Linked DNA regions of Xenopus tropicalis. The protein of the gene in region 1 interacts with the protein of each later gene in a biochemical or structural test. Links are inferred from orthologs where the notes say so. Each region holds a gene or a part of one and is shown on either strand. Other genes may lie near its edges.

Evidence for each region.
Region 2: the proteins of atf3 (region 1) and jund form a complex in vitro, tested with the Homo sapiens proteins (2 studies listed by BioGRID and IntAct, with this or other methods). The link is inferred for Xenopus tropicalis from reciprocal best matches to the Homo sapiens genes ATF3 and JUND.

What each region holds. Positions count from the first base shown.
Region 1 is NC_030681.2:14,462,798-14,468,257, forward strand, and holds the start of atf3 (cyclic AMP-dependent transcription factor ATF-3), read right to left. Parts: upstream 3,326-5,460; 5' UTR 3,162-3,325; intron 1-3,161.
Region 2 is NC_030677.2:103,484,131-103,489,016, reverse strand, and holds jund (transcription factor jun-D), read right to left. Parts: upstream 3,492-4,886; 5' UTR 2,846-3,491; coding exon 1,946-2,845; 3' UTR 906-1,945; downstream 1-905. UniProt on the Homo sapiens protein: Transcription factor binding AP-1 sites.

The sequences.
Region 1 (5,460 bases):
GGCACAGATCCTATCTGATCCCCCCCATTGTAAGCAGCAGTCCTGCCCTGTTTTATGGCTGAGATTCTAGCTATCTGTATAACAGAGCATTCTGTCACCAGGCACAGATCCTATCTGATCCCCCCCATTGTAAGCAGCAGTCCTGCCCTGCTTTATGGCTGAGATTCTAGCTATCTGTATAACAGAGCATTCTGTCACAGTGGCACAGATCCTATCTGATCCCCCCATTGTAAGCAGCAGTCCTGCCCTGCTTTATGGCTGAGATTCTAGCTATCTGTATAACAGAGCATTCTGTCACAGTGGCACAGATCCTATCTGATCCCCCCATTGTAAGCAGCAGTCCTGCCCTGCTTTATGGCTGAGATTCTAGCTATCTGTATAACAGAGCATTCTGTCACAGTGGCACAGATCCTATCTGATCCCCCCATTGTAAGCAGCAGTCCTGCCCTGCTTTATGGCTGAGATTCTAGCTATCTGTATAACAGAGCATTCTGTCACAGTGGCACAGATCCTATCTGATCCCCCCATTGTAAGCAGCAGTCCTGCCCTGCTTTATGGCTGAGATTCTAGCTATCTGTATAACAGAGCATTCCGTTACAGTGGCACAGATCCTATCTGATCCCCATTGCAAGCAGCAACTAATTAAAGGGGTAGACAAACAACAATCAAAATGTACCTATTATACTATAATATTATATTCTCCTATCTTTATATTATACTTCTTGGAACTGTTGATACATTGGTTGTAACTGTTGGCAATGCAGCTACTAAAGCACAGTAATGTGCTGCCCATGAGAGCCGGTGCTCCAGCTGCCAGATCCTCAGCTCTAACCACAATCCTACAGCTGGAATTCCTGCCGGAACCCTGAGTGTGCTGTTCCTGCTGGAATGTACCGCCACCTTGAGGCCAGTACGTACACAGGACACAGGAGGGAGAAGTGAAAGTATTAGGCAGCAGTTTCATCACCAGGCTGCAACTGAAACCTCCCAGCGCGGGACAAAGGCAGCCCGAGGTTATGTGTGTACTGGTACTGGGTGTGCCGGGCACTGAACTGGGCTGCCTCTCCCACACACACAGCCAACTGGCCCTTCACTTCTTCATACAGAGGGCAAAGCCCAAACTCTCTGCCTGCCGGGATCTCCCTTTGTCTCCAATGTAACAATAATGAGCTTAAGGGAAAAGTTCAACTAAACTGCACTCACAACTACCATCCCAACGGGGCACTCACGGTCATACACATATACTAACCCATTCCTACAGCAGAGAGGCACAGTGAGAGCGAGAGAGACAGATGGAAAGTAAAGAGACTGCAAGAGATACAGGTACCCAGATACAAGAGTGAGAGAAATAAAACAGGCATTCAACTAGATGAACAGCTACACGTGGATATATAGACATGGAGTGATATACAGATTACAGAAGATATATAGATGATGGGACATAGGTAAATGAGAAATATATATGGCTAGATATAGAGATAATAGAGGATATACACCTGAGGATATATATATATATATATATATATATATATATATATATATATATATATATATATGAGATATAGAAATGAAAATATAAAAATGGGATATATAAATGAGACTATATAGAGATACGTGGATAATGGGAGATATATAATGACAGAATAAAGCTGACATGAGATATACAGACAGGATATAAATAATGAGAAATAAATAAAAGATGGGAGCTATACGTATGATATGACAGATATCCAATTAATGAGAGTTATATTAAGATAGACAGATACATAGCAGATACATAAATATATATATATATATAGTTAATGAAACATATATAAAAGATAGAAAATATACAGATAATAAGAGAACTATAGATGATAGTTTTATATATATATATATATATATATATTTATATATAAAACTAACTATCATCTATAGTTCTCTTATTAAAACTATCATCTATAGTTCTCTTATTATCTGTATATTTTCTATCTTTTATATATGTTTCATTAACTATATATATATATATATATAGTTAATGACACATATATAAAAGATAGAAAATATACAGATAATAAGAGATCTATAGATGATGAACTATAATGTGAGATACATTGATGATGTGACAAAATGGGAAATATAGAGATGCTGAGATTGATGATGAGAGATATTTTAATGACAGATATATAGCTGATAAATGACAGTGTACAATATATAGTTAATGATATAAAAATTATAATATAGTGTTAAAAAGAAAAATATAAATAGGATTATATAGATGACAGGAGATATATAGATAAAGATGATATATAAATGAAACATATACTACATATTGGAGATATATAAATGGGAGAAATGGCAGATATATATATATATATGATGGTAGATTTATAAATAAGTAAAGTTATCACACAGCGACAAGTCCCAGGCAATACTGTAATATCCCCTCCAAAGATAAAATTATAAAGTTTCCCCCATGTGTAACACAGGGACCGGTGTGGGGGATAAAATGGGGGGATCAGGGGCCACTGCCCAAACTCAGGCAGCGAATAAGCAAAGAATAAAGGGTAAGTAAGCACAAAGTAAAGCAAAACTATATATATAAATGGGAGAAATGGCAGATATATATATTTATATATATATATATGATGGTAGATTTATAAATAAGTAAAGTTATCACACAGCGATAAGTCCCAGGCAATACTGTTATATCCCCTCCAAAGATAAAATTATACATTTTCCCCCATGTGTAACACAGGGAATAAAATGGGGGGCTCAGGGGCCACTGCCCAAACTCAGGCAGCGAATAAGCAAAGAATAAAGGGAAAGTAAGCAGCCCAGGCACAAAGTAAAGCAAAACTATATATATAAATGGGAGAAATGGCAGATATATATATATATATGATGGTAGATTTATACATAAGGAAAGTTATCCCACAGCTGGAATAAAGGGTAAGTAAGCAGCCCAGGCACAAAGTAAAGCCCCTGTAAGAGCCAATGAGCGAGTCCCGCTCCGGCAGCAGAGTAGGGAAGTTTCCCGGAGTTGGGACCGGGCTGGTTACACAACAAGCTAGAGGAAAGTAGAGGAGTAAGCGCTGCGGCTCAGCCTGCCCGGCGGGGAAGTAGGGACTCAGGAAGAGAGAAAGTTGTACCGTTCGAGGCTCTGCCTCCCCGGTCCTTACCGTGCTCTTTCCGTGGGAAGTGAGGGAGAAGCGTTGCCGCTGGCTGTACTACTCGGCTGCCCGTGTGCCTCCCCCGCTCTGACTGGGAGAAGCTGTGGCAGTGCAGTTGCATCACCCCTTTATATAGCCGCGCACGGAGAGCGGAGGAATGTGGCCCGCCCTGACGTCATTCTATTAATAGCCCAGGCGGTGATGCAAGCGGGGGGACCGGGGAAGTAGTGCGGGAGGGAGGAGCGGAGGGAGGAGCTACACAGACACTGGGGGGAAGCCTCTGGCCATAAGAGGGTCATTATTAACTCCTACACGGCAGCGGTATGAGCCAATGGTGCCCAGGCGGGGACAATGACTGCAGGCTGCTGGCATGTGACGGCGGGAGGAGGATCCCAGCAGGGAAAGAGCAGGAAGAGGGCGCCTTTGGCTTGTTTGGCTGTTTTTATTCCTTGTTACCCCAGCGATTCCCCGCCTGCTGCCTGGAGGCACACATAACAAACACATGGGAGGCGGATGGATTCTGCCCTGCACCGTGCTGTCGGGTCACCTTCCTAATCTGCCCCCCAGCTTCCTCTCCTGATGCCCCCCAGCCTTCCTCTCCTGATGTCCCCCAGCCTTCCTCTCCTGATGTCCCCCAGCCTTCCTCTCCTGATGCCCCCCAGTCTCCCTCTCCTGATGCCCCACAGCCTTCCTCTCCTGATGCCCCCCAGCTTTCCTCTCCTGATGCCCCCCAGCCTTCCTCTCCTGATGCCCCACAGCCTTCCTCTCCTGATGCCCCCCAGCTTTCCTCTCCTGATGCCCCCCAGCCTTTCTCTCCTGATGCCCCACAGCCTTCCTTTCCTGATGTCCCCCAGCCTTCCTCTCCTGATGCCCCCCAGCCTTCTTCTCCTGATGCCCCCCAGCCTTCCTCTCCTGATGCCCCCCAGCCTTCCTCTCCTTATGCCCCCAGCCTTCCTCTCCTGATGCCCCCAGTCTCCCTCTCCTGATGCCCCCCAGCCTTCTTCTCCTGATGCCCCCCAGTCTCCCTCTCCTGATGCCCCACAGCCTTCCTCTCCTGATGCCCCCCAGCCTTCCTCTCCTGATGCCCCCCAGCCTTCCTCTCCTGATGCCCCCCAGTCTCCCTCTCCTGATGCCCCACAGCCTCCCTCTCCTGATGCCCCCCAGCCTTCCTCTCCTGATGCCCCCCAGTCTCCCTCTCCTGATGCCCCCCAGCCTTCCTCTCCTGATGCCCCCCAGCCTTCTTCTCCTGATGCCCCCCAGTCTCCCTCTCCTGATGCCCCCTAGCCTTCCTCTCCTGATGCCCCACAGCCTTCCTCTCCTGATGCCCCCCAGCCTTCTTCTCCTGATGCCCCCCAGCTTTCCTCTCCTGATGCCCCCCAGCCTTTCTCTCCTGATGCCCCCCAGCCTTCCTCTCCTGATGCCCCCCAGCCTTCTTCTCCTGATGCCCCCCAGTCTCCCTCTCCTGATGCCCCCCAGCCTTCCTCTCCTGATGCCCCCCAGCCTTCCTTTCCTGATGCCCCCCAGCCTTCCTCTCCTGATGCCCCACAGCCTTCCTCTGTTATACTGAACTACTGGGGCTCCACCAGCATCATCACTACTGCCAAATAGTGGGGACATATATATACACACACACACACACACACACATAAAAGGCAAAGTAGCTTCTGTTTGTATCATACAAAAAGATAAGGATAGGGCTGTGACTGCTGCTTGTACATGTGTTGTTACGTGTGTTATTACAATACAAGTCATGGAAATGACTTGTATTCTGACATCTTTTTTGTATGATACAAACAGAAGCTACTTTGTCTTTTTATAAACAATTTCTTTGCTTGTTATTGTAAATATATCTGCTAATATCTCCAATTGTTTCTTATATTTAATTTTCTTTTACATTTCAAATGCTGTTTTAGAGAGTGCTGGAACTTCTGTTGCAGATCATTTCAAGTTTTTTTGTTTGTAATGAAGTAAATAAATACTACAGAGGTGTTTAATTTGTTTTGTTATCCTTTTCTGTTTTGGTCATTGTGCTAATTTATCCTCAAGCTCCTGCTCTAAAGGGAAATAATGGGTATCAGGGTCTGTGCCACTGTGACAGAATGCTTTGTTATACAGATAGCTAGAATCTCAGCCATAAAGCAGGGCAGGACTGCTGCTTACAATGGGGATCAGATAGGATCTGTGCTACTGTGACAGAATGCTCTGTTATACAGATAGCTAGAATCTCAGCCATAAAGCAGGGCAGGACTGCTGCTTACAATGGGGGGGATCAGATAGGATCTGTGCCACTGTGACAGAATGCTCTGTT
Region 2 (4,886 bases), on another chromosome or scaffold:
CCTTTAGTAAGATGCAATAGCTAAAAATCTGAATGTCAACCGTTTGTGCACAGTGGGCTCATTTATCCACACTAGGAAAAATTGCACATGTGCTGGAACTTATAGTAACCAACCAGCTATAAGCTTTTCTTAGCCAGCTGTGGATAGAACAATGCAAGCAAAAATGTGATTGGTTAAAATGGGTTACTGCCCTGGTGTAATTTTTCCACTGATAATAAGCCACAGTGAGTAGTCCAATATAAAATACATTTTGGTTTGATCTAAGGACAGTTTGTGTAGAGCAGGTAAAATAATTACAAGGACCACAGAATGGTTTATTTAATTTTGTGGGTATCCCAATCCCTGGGCTTAATTATGAATTACTAACATGCACACATATACCAGTCATACAGTTAAAAGCTACAACTGACCAGTCTTCATATCCAATACTGTAAAATACTGTAAATATGAAGCACAAGAAACTGACATTTACACAGTTTGTGTGAGGACAGTACATCTCTTAACACATGTGTGTGAATATTTGCACTGTAATACTCATACAAAATACAATCATGCAAGCTGAGGATAAAAAAACTTTAAAAATGTAACATACTGTACTGATAAGATGGGGCACAGACATAGTTAACTGAAAAAAAATATCAAAAGGGATAGCTTACTATTTAGTTAGAATAAAATTGCTTGTCATTTAATAAAGCAATAGTTTCCAACCATCCTGTGTGCTATTGAGTACACACACTGATCTTTTTATAGCTTACCTCTTACCCAGATATGAAATATGCACCTTTGTTACCAAATGGAAATATACATAAGATAACAGAATTCTAAAAAACTGCACCTTTTTATGAGGTTCTTGTGAAAAGACAGGCCTAAGAGATGTCATAGGAACACCACCAAGCAAACTCAACTCATTTTAACAATACTTTATTATATATAAGAGCACTGGAGTACTGTATATACTGGAATGTGTAGTAAAAAAACAGTTTGAAAACATTGTTCCCAGTATAACTTAATTATAGCAAACTGAACACTTCAAACAAAAGTTCTGTAAAATACATTTACATATCATACAAATTATAGCTCAGCATAGAAGATGCAGACATAGTGCACTCATGCACTTTAACTTCTTTGATACTGGATATTCCTGTATGTGTGGATTAGTTCAGTAGCTAAGAAGTTTCAGTGCAGGTTACCGTAGCCTATTCTGTCATCTGCTTTTGAAACGTTGTAAACATTTAAGGCAGTTTATATATAAATCAGCATTGATTGCACTTGGCATTAACATCCAACCAAGTTTGTCTCAAACATGTTCTGGATATAAGCATTACTGCATGTACAAACTTGTCTGTACAGCTCAAGACAGAACATATTACTGGAGTGAGCAGTGTCATTAGGGTCTAGGGAACAAAACCTTAACCCACAATAACATTCTGTAAGTCCTGATATGTATGCACTCTAGATTAATAGTAGTCACTGTTGTCTTAGGCCACCTCAAACTTCCTTAGAGTTGGTGTTATGGGGTTTAATTGGTAAATCTGTCTGTACTATGCAAATCAAGATTGTTTACATGAGGAAAAACAAACAAACAAAACAGAAACTGCAGCAACACTGGTGTCTCAAAAGTATCAGTCTCAATAAGAAACTTGCAGCCATAACACCATTGCAACACCGTGCTCCTCCACCTTGGTTGTGTTTACTTTTTTTTTTAATGGTCACCCTACATTAGATGACACTATTTGGTTATGGTCAGTAGTAATGGGAGTGGTTTGATGCTTCCCAAAGTAATGGGCCACCCTCCAGTCTTTGGTCATTTGAGTTGATACACTTTACAAAAATGACAAAGTCCCAACTAAATTTACTTAGTGAGCTTCTCAAAATTGGAATACAATTATTACAGGTGTAAGGTAAAGCAATGGATAGGTCTGAATAGTTGAAAAAGATCCAGTGCTTAGTAGGCTTGGACCTGTTGGGGCAGAAGCTGGCAGCCACTGTTGACATGACTCATGACCTTTTGCTTTAGTTGGGCCACCTGTTCCCTCAGCAGGTTAGCAGTAGATGCCAGCTCAGTGTTCTGTGTCTTAAGGCTCTTCACTTTTTCCTCTAGTCTGGAGATTCGCTCAAGCTTTCTCTTTCTGCATTTAGATGCTGCTATCCTGTTTCTCAGCCTCTTTCGCTCTGCTTTGATCCTTTCCTGTGTGTCCATATCTATAGGGGACATTGGTGGACTATCCCCAAAGCTGGCAACCTCTGGTACAATCTGTGGCTCATCTTTCAGAACCTGCAGTCTGGGTGGTGGAGGTGCTGGTTGCTGTATCATGTTTGATGGAGGTGGTGGGTATGGCACAGTATCAGTACTATAATTGACAGTGGTTCCCATAACCCCACTGGGGTAGCTGCTAAGGTTGGCATAGACAGGAGCATCAGAGGTTGATGGAGGTTGAAGGTTAGATCCAGCAGGCACTGAGCTTAAATCCAAACTGCCTGGTTGAACCCCCAATTGATTCTGTTTATGAAGATCTTCCAATGCTTTCACAAAGCCCTCTGCAAATTCTTGTTCCTCACTAGCCACCTTTGGGTACACAAACTGGCTAGTAGTAGGTGTGGTGGTGACCATGCCATTTGATTGGATGATAAGCCTCTCCAGCTCAGGAGAAGCCAACTTTAGTAGCCCAAGATCAGGGGAGGTCAGCAGCTCCCCATCGCGGAGGTGTGGCTTTAAATTAGCTACAACCTGGTCAGTCAGGTTAAGGTTCAGATCCTTTTTCATCATAGCGCTAAAAGGAGAAGTGTAGAGGGGAGCCTGAGAAACATTCAACACATCATCATGATAGAAGGGTATTTCCATCATCCCCTAACGCAAACTGAAGTAGAAGTGGGTGCGCAAAGGACACAAAGTGTACCCCTTCTTGCCTACACCCCTTGACTTTAGTCCAAAAGTTCTGATGCTTTGGCAAAGGAGAAAGGCCGAAAGGAATTAAGGCTTCCTTCTGCCACCCACTCTGACTACGGGACTTTGTTCCAAAGTAATGGGGCAGCGTAATCACTCCAAGGAGCCTTTGTTCCCTCTCCCGAGTCCCGAAGGGGGTCTGTGTGTCCCCGCTCCCTCGTCTTAAAAGTGTGACATGCCGCCTTGGACTTTCATTGCAAGAATAGAAACCACGTAGAAAATAATCCAGTGTCGGAGAGAGACATCAAGCAACTTTGGATACTACAGTCCTGCGCGTCCGTGTCCCCTCAGCTGACAGGATCCCTCTTTGTTATCACGGCTACCAGCGTCGCAGCAAAACGTTCTTTCCGTCAGTTTTCGAGAACCTCAGTTATAACTGGTATGAAAAGTCCTTTGCTTTGGTAAAGTTCCAGGTTTTGGGCTGGTTCTAATGTAGGCTCTTTGTTCCTATAATCATGCCAGTAACGGGATAGGCGCCTCCTCAGTGTTTACAAAGCCTTAACGCTCACCCCCTCCGGTCTTTCGCTATACACTAAACTGTATCGCTCCCAGTTAAGTTATATATATACCCTCCTCATCAACATGATGTCACCTACCGACCAAGAGATTGGTTCGCCATGACGTGAAGATATTCCTTCGTTTGCATAGTGGGTGTGTCCTGTAGGCAGCGAGGCAGGCTGGGTTGAGGTCATTTATTAACCCTTTTGTGGCTCGAAGAGCTACGCAGAACCTAATTGGGCGGCGAGTGTGTCACATGCCCCTATTTTTTTCAGAGAGAAAAAAAAAAAGAAATAACTCGCCTAAGTAGAGACGTCAGTGGATATTTATAGACACGTGTACAGGGAGTGCCTGGCGGCCCGAGTCGCTGGGATTTGCCGGTACTGACAGCAATCTGTGGTTGTATTTGGTACTTGTTTTGTTAATATATTTCTAGTACGCTTTGGTTCGCTAGCCCCGGCAGTGTTATATACTACAATAGACTGTTTATACTGTATCTGTTCCGTTCTATAACACCAAGGGCCAGGTTTAGCAAACGAAAGAGAATGTAATTATCAGGGGGCCCAGCTGCGCAGAGGCCCTCTGAGGAGGAGCAGGGAAATAGATCACTTACAAAGGAAGAAGTGTAATATTTGAAGGGGAACTAGATCCAAAGATATTTATTGCATAATTAAGGAAATTTGATCCTAAGCAACTTTAATTCCACATGTTCAATGGTTGACTCTTGAAACAGAGTACCATCCTCATATGTAATAAAAGGCACTAACTTTGCCCAGGAGCAGTAACCCATAGCAACCAAGATTTTTGCTTTGAAACAAGTGACCAGTGAATGCTTCCTGCTGATTGGCACTTATATTGTAGTGTCACACACTGTGACCTACAGCACTTACATTTGCCCATTTGTGTCTGTTAGTTACCCCTCCCATATAGATTGTAAGCTCTACAGGGCAGGGACCTCGTTCATCTTGTTCCTGACTCTTATTGCAACTGTACCTTGTATTTATTTGTATTTATTGTTGTACTTTGTATTTATCCATTATCTTTAACCCCCTGTTTGTATTAATGTATTCTACTGTACAGCGCTGCGTACATAAGTAGCGCTTTATAAATAAAGATATACATACATACATACATGATTGGTTACTATGGGTTACTGCCCCTGGGCAAAGTTAGCACCTTTTATTACATAATGTCCCAAGTGTCAGCTCTCCTCCTGCCCTGATTCCAGCTCCCATAATGCTTTGTTCTTTATTCACAGATCTGTTAATAAGCTCGCTTTTGTTACATTGCTTCAAAAGTCAGAAACAACATGCAGACTATGAAAAGGAACAGACACTATTTTAATAGAGATTATATTTATTAATAAGCTGGACGTCTTGACTGCACATGCTCAGTACATTAAATTTGCTAGTAGCACACAAGGGATTACTGGCGAAAAAGATAA